Linked DNA regions of Saccharomyces cerevisiae S288C. Changing the gene in region 1 together with any one later gene gives a genetic interaction. Each region holds a gene or a part of one and is shown in the gene's direction. Other genes may lie near its edges.

Region 1 (3,255 bases):
CTTGGCCAAAAATTGTACGCAAGAGCACGGCCCCAAACATCCGCCAAAGAGATGTTGAAACCGGCGTCTTTTTTATCCTGAACGTCATCTGATATGTCGTCCCATCTACTCCCAGTCTTAAAGATGTTAATGCCGTCTGGGGTAAGAATTGAATGAGAGATGTCCCAAATTGAGTTAGATTCTGTTGTATTATCCACGATAGCTTGCACAGACGTCCAGTTGTTCCAAGCCAAAGTACTTGTTAACCAGTTACCACCCGACAGACCTGCCAAGTAAGTTGCACCTTGCAGCAGCCCACCAAGACCATGCTCATTTGCGCCATCAGTACGATTGTCCATAGCAGCAAGCATACCAGCACCAGACAACATGGCACGGTAACCACCACCAGAACAGGCGACGGCAATCTTAGGCATATTGGAAGAGTTGCTACCAAAAAGAGTGGATAGCAAGGAAGTGTCACTGAAATTCGAAGTGGCCCTATTCAAAAAAGAATGCAAAGCCTCCTTGGTGTATGCATCTCTTTTTTTCAGCCATTCTGTTTCGTTATCTGACAAACCAGATGCTTCTCTGACTAAGTTAATATCATCATCACAGGTTACGTTCGCAGGGACGTAACTGTTATTTGGTGACCAAGCGTTAACGTTCTCTGTTAGAGAAGTCAAAACTGCAGCAGAAACCAACAAACTCTGCAACTTCATGGTTTTGTTTTATTTTCTTTCCCGTTTGCCCTTAGGATGGATAGCTTCGTGTAATTTACGTTATATGAACGAAAAAAGAGAGAAATGTTAAGAAAAGAACGAAGAATTGATTAGTTAGTATAACCTAATAAATGTAGAACCTTACAGCGAAGAGACGTTTCCGTTGGTTAAATGTGGTGGAAGCGTCTTTATATATTAGATGATGTAGTTTACCTAAGCAGTTAGAAGAAAATAAAGTAACCAAGTCATCTTCTAAGCAAAAATAGGAGACGTAAATGAATGTTGCTTAACTGAGAAAAATATGCGGGAATAAGCGGACATGTTACTGTATGAGGTTATTTCCCTTTATAGATAAGGGCGTAAACCGCATATAATGAGGAAAGGCGAAGTTAGAAACGGACTTTTTAGGTCGCTTTGAAGAAGTCCGTGCAGGAAACCCATGCGTCCACTTATTTTAGCACTATGTGGCATGAGAAAGCTTTGGAAGGAATAAACGTTAGGACCCCACTGCGCCGCTTTTACGCAGGGCAATTTCGGGGACAAAGGGGGCTGAAGGAATACAATTCCGATCCAAGGCAACAAGTAGGTCAGAACCCTTTATTAACCTGCGCTTGTTAGTGGCTTCCTTTGTACTCTGTCCGTAATCCAGCATAGCGCTGAATTGCTGAAAGATATGGGTAGCGGTCAGATGAGAAGGGCAATCGTCAGGACTTCTGTTGAAAAGCGGACTAAACATAGGCATTATCATTCTTAGAGTTTTACGAGCAAATAGAATCGAGTGACTTCCGTCGTTGCTAACAGGCGCAGTAATAATAACCGCGGACGAAAGCCACGCAGGCAAAGAATGCTTTCGCTGAAATATCGGAGTCTTGCTATTGTTCAGGGCTTTGCCGGTGCGTAAATAATAGGCTGAAGCGAATTTGATTTCCCGCACAAAAAATTTTTGCTCGAGTAAGTCATACATATATCTTGCATGCGTAAAAAAAATTGCAATTGCTGAAGATTGAACGACCGCCCACCGGTATTTTCATCTCTTCTAGATCAAGACTAACTGCTCGTTCAGTACAAGTATTTTACGATAGTCCATATTACTCTTCAATTAATATTTTTTTTTTATATTCTGGCCCGTTTTTGACACAATTTTTTCCTTCTCTTTTTCTCCCTATAAACTATGCAGAAGTAGCGATAATCACGATCTTGTTAATGATTCACATGTGCGCAAGTCGTATTGTCTGTCTAGATAGTGAGATGCCTTCTAAATAACAGGAGAGAGGCAAGATAGCATAACGGCGCAATGAAGGTAATTTCTGCCAGTTTTCTTTGCATTGACGACTGAAAGGGCCCTTGTAAGAGCCGCTCGACAGGGCGACGCCACAGTAGAGTCGCTAACACCGAAATATGCATATTGAAAAACATCAAAGTATAAAAGAACAAAGAGGGTGGCATCTGCAGATCAAAAAAAACAATAACCACCAAACAAGACACTAAAAAAGGTCGTAAAAAGGTCAAAAGTTAGAATGGTTAAGGTATATATTCATGACAACAAGGTTGACTCCGATTATCGCGCACCCCACAATTCTGGAACAGAACTTTCCCTGGATGAATTAGCCAAGTTAGGAGTGATTTATAAATACTGTGCAAATGAGGAAGAAGTGAATGAAATTGCTAGGCAAAGAGAATATAAAAATAGAGATGTGGTCAACATCTGCGAAGGTTCCTTCAAAAGTGAAGCAGAGTTTAATGAAAAACTAGCAACATTCTACCAAGAGCATTTACATGAAGACGAAGAAATAAGATACTGTCTCGAGGGTGCTGGATACTTTGACGTCAGGGATGCTTCCACACCAGAGAACTGGATTAGGTGTTTGGTAGAGTCAGGTGATTTACTGATTCTTCCACCAGGCATCTATCATCGTTTCACCTTGACAACTAGCAACCACATCAAGGCCTTGAGACTGTTTAAGGACGAGCCCAAATGGCAAGCTATCAACAGGTCAAATCAGGCTGATTCATTGCCTGTACGCAAGGACTACATTGCCCTGATCAATCAGTACTAAATACTGCATCATAATACATTATTCTTAATGTCTTACTTCTTTATATCTTTAAAGTAGCGTAGGGTGACTTCCCCGTCAAGAATGATTTTTAGTCTGTGAAATAGGAAAAGAAAAAAACACCAAAAGTGGAAAAAGAAACACCGGAAGTTTGAACGATTTTCGTATTATTTTTATATTTAGATGTTGGTCAAGTATTCATCTTTTCCTCCATTTATTTGCATACTTCTTCCATGGAGAATAGTGAAAAGTATAGGCCATAGTCGTAATATCAAAAAGCAAAGCCTTATCACTATTTATAAACATCAACAATCCTGAAAGCCAAAAACGATACGACATTTGATATTTTGATTTGGTTTCAGCGCCCTATTTTTTTTATAAAAACTATACGCATACTGTTGCATTCCTTTCTTTATAAAATTCAATAAAAAATTAATACTTTCCACAGATAAAGCTAGAGAATGTCAACAACAGGTCCGTTAGATGCTACTTTAATAAGGGAC
Region 2 (3,798 bases), on another chromosome or scaffold:
ATTCTTTTGATGAGTGCTCAAACGAAAAATAAGCCATGGTTTGGCGTACAGTACCACCCGGAGTCATGTTGTTCAGAATTGGGGGGGCTGTTAGTCAGTAACTTTCTCAAGTTGAGTTTCATAAATAACGTGAAGACAGGAAGGTGGGAAAAGAAGAAACTTAATGGAGAGTTTTCCGATATCCTATCTCGATTGGATAGGACTATTGATAGAGACCCCATATACAAGGTAAAAGAGAAATATCCGAAGGGCGAGGACACAACTTACGTTAAGCAGTTCGAGGTCTCTGAAGACCCGAAATTGACATTTGAAATTTGCAACATCATACGAGAAGAAAAATTTGTCATGTCATCTTCTGTGATTAGTGAAAATACGGGTGAATGGTCTATCATTGCTTTACCAAACTCCGCATCCCAGGTATTCACTCATTATGGAGCTATGAAAAAGACTACAGTTCATTATTGGCAAGATAGTGAAATTAGTTACACCTTGTTGAAAAAGTGTCTAGATGGTCAAGATTCGGATTTGCCTGGCTCCCTTGAGGTAATACATGAAGATAAATCCCAATTTTGGATCACTTTGGGTAAATTTATGGAGAATAAAATAATCGATAACCACAGAGAAATACCTTTTATTGGAGGTCTTGTTGGCATTTTAGGTTATGAAATAGGTCAGTACATTGCATGCGGCCGTTGCAATGATGATGAGAATTCCCTTGTTCCCGACGCCAAACTAGTTTTTATCAACAATAGTATAGTCATTAATCACAAGCAAGGGAAGCTTTATTGTATTTCTCTGGATAATACATTTCCAGTGGCATTAGAACAATCATTAAGGGACAGTTTTGTTAGAAAGAAGAATATTAAGCAATCCCTGTCCTGGCCCAAGTATCTTCCAGAGGAGATAGACTTCATTATAACTATGCCCGATAAACTTGACTACGCTAAGGCGTTTAAGAAATGTCAGGATTATATGCATAAGGGTGATTCTTATGAAATGTGTCTCACAACGCAAACCAAAGTTGTACCATCTGCGGTGATAGAACCCTGGAGGATTTTCCAGACCTTGGTACAAAGAAACCCGGCTCCATTTTCAAGTTTTTTTGAGTTTAAAGACATTATTCCCCGCCAAGATGAAACGCCTCCAGTTTTGTGCTTCTTAAGTACTTCTCCAGAAAGGTTTTTGAAGTGGGATGCAGACACATGCGAGCTACGTCCCATCAAGGGAACTGTGAAAAAAGGACCGCAAATGAACTTGGCAAAAGCCACACGAATCCTGAAGACACCAAAAGAATTTGGTGAGAACTTAATGATTTTGGACTTAATCAGAAATGACCTTTACGAGTTGGTTCCTGACGTTCGGGTGGAGGAGTTCATGTCCGTGCAAGAATATGCCACCGTTTACCAACTCGTTAGCGTCGTAAAGGCACATGGATTGACCTCTGCCAGTAAGAAGACGAGATATTCAGGCATTGATGTCCTTAAACACTCGCTTCCTCCGGGATCTATGACGGGAGCCCCCAAGAAGATTACTGTGCAATTATTGCAGGACAAGATAGAAAGCAAGCTAAACAAACATGTCAATGGTGGAGCACGTGGTGTTTACAGCGGTGTCACGGGATATTGGTCTGTGAATTCCAACGGAGATTGGTCTGTTAACATTAGATGTATGTATTCCTACAACGGCGGAACCAGCTGGCAACTCGGTGCAGGGGGGGCCATAACAGTCTTAAGCACACTAGATGGCGAACTAGAGGAAATGTACAACAAGTTGGAGAGCAACTTACAAATTTTCATGTAGATATTTGTATATTATTAGATATGTATGCAAACATTTTCTTTAGAATAATATACTATTCTTGTACGATGCAGAATTTTTTTTTTTTTTCGCTTTAGGAAAATGACGTTTTGTGCCGTGGAAAACCCTGGAAAAGGATATTGGAAAAAAGTTAAAGCATGGTCATTTAGGGAAGACTTTCCTTCCAATTTACTTATCAATAGGTTATAATGTATGCTTGACGGAGCAGAATTCTTTCAAACCATAAGATAATAGATATTATAACATTTTAGTACATAAAAGAGGCCCGAGAAAATAGATTTTAACTGGAATAATTTTTTGCAAGATGACAACAACCGTACCTAAAGTGTTTGCATTCCATGAATTTGCAGGAGTAGCTGAGGCAGTTGCCGATCATGTTATTCACGCACAAAACTCTGCCCTTAAGAAGGGCAAAGTCTCAAGGTCCACACAGATGTCCGGAACGAGCCTTAACGGAAATGGTAACACAGAATCCAAAACGATGGAGAGAGTAAATTCTGTAAGGAGTAATGCCTCCAGCCGTGGTGGTAGTGAAGACGGCGCCACTAAGAAATTGAAAAAGGAGAAAGAAAGGCGCTTCAAGATTGCGTTGTCCGGTGGTTCGTTAATCCAAGTGTTGCACGAAGGATTGTTGAAAAGAGACGACGTTCAATGGGGTAAATGGGACATTTACTTTGCTGATGAAAGACTAGTGCCCTTTAGCTCCAGTGAAAGCAATTACGGTCTTGCTAAGAGAAAAATATTCGATTTAATAGATACGGAGAAGTACGGAACTCCGAAAATTTATCACATTGATGAGTCATTGATTAACGACCCTCAAGAGTGTGCAGATAACTATGAGAAAATTCTAATTAAAGGATTTGCCGGTAGAGATTCTGTGAAACTACCGATGTTTGATCTGTTTCTGCTTGGCTGCGCTCCTGACGGTCACATAGCCTCGTTATTCCCCAATTTTCAAGAGAATCTACGTGAAAATCTGGCATGGGTCATACCTGTAGAAAATGCACCCAGCGGACCTTCGAATAGGATTTCACTGACCATCCCAGTGATTTGTCACTCTCATAGAGTCACCTTTGTTGTAGAGGGCGCCACAAAGGCGCCTGTAATCAAGACAATAATGGAAAGGCCTGAAAAGGGATTGCCTAGTAGTATTGTCAATGAGGGCGCCGCCGGTCGTGTTTCATGGTTTGTAGACGACGATGCTTTGAAAGATGTCTTTGTAATTAAGAAGAAGTACAAGTTTTATGATGATGAGAATTTGACTGAGTAGGTGTTTAATTTTTTGGGTTCTTTTTCTTTCTGATGATAATGACAACTAATGACAATACTATGATTTAACCTTAACCATTTTCTTTTTTTAGCTCTTTCTATCCCCACCCTTCCCTTTAGTAATCGCAATAAATCACCCTATGTTTTTGAATTTTCTCGAGAAGTAACTTTATATAAAACAAGTCATCTTAGTGACGTAGTGTGCATATATAACATACAACATATATAATATATACAATAACCCTTTAGAAAAAAATAATAACAACCACAGTGGATATTTCCCTTTTGGACCTATGGCTTCCGCTAAGAGAAAAGCATGCTTTTAAGTTTTCTTTTCTTTCAAGGAGATTATTTGGTCTTAAGCGAAGTGAGAGATTGAAACAAAATGTTAATTACAGAGTTTACGAAGAATCAGTTTGCAAGACCACCTTATTCGTATGGCATTATCAAGCTTTGTGTGTAGACTATCCACACAAACATGATTCAACATACATAGCAGTGGTAGGTATACAACGGATATAAAAACCTTAACTCTACGTGTAGAAAATGTAAAAGGGTAGAGCGGTTGCAAAAAAGCAAGTTTTAGTAGGATTCCAGGAACAGCTTCTCATCTTGCTAGATAACATACGGCAATAATGACAAAATACACTGAGCCATGCGGTTGTTACACTTTCCCAAAATAGTAATCTACTTCTCCCATTTTTTATATTT

What was found.
Region 2: mutations in ADI1 (region 1) and SOL1 together harm fitness more than expected from each alone (negative genetic interaction), as found in Saccharomyces cerevisiae (2 studies listed by BioGRID).

What each region holds. Positions count from the first base shown.
Region 1 is NC_001145.3:281,887-285,141, forward strand, and holds ADI1 (acireductone dioxygenase (Ni2+-requiring)), read left to right. Parts: upstream 1-2,215; coding exon 2,216-2,755; downstream 2,756-3,255. Other genes in the region: PLB1 (lysophospholipase), read right to left, coding at 1-698; YMR008C-A (uncharacterized protein), read right to left, coding at 1,195-1,662; ANY1 (Any1p), read left to right, coding at 3,214-3,255. UniProt on the Saccharomyces cerevisiae protein: Catalyzes 2 different reactions between oxygen and the acireductone 1,2-dihydroxy-3-keto-5-methylthiopentene (DHK-MTPene) depending upon the metal bound in the active site.
Region 2 is NC_001146.8:688,199-691,996, forward strand, and holds SOL1 (Sol1p), read left to right. Parts: upstream 1-2,122; coding exon 2,123-3,088; downstream 3,089-3,798. Other genes in the region: ABZ1 (4-amino-4-deoxychorismate synthase), read left to right, coding at 1-1,800. UniProt on the Saccharomyces cerevisiae protein: May be involved in regulation of tRNA subcellular distribution.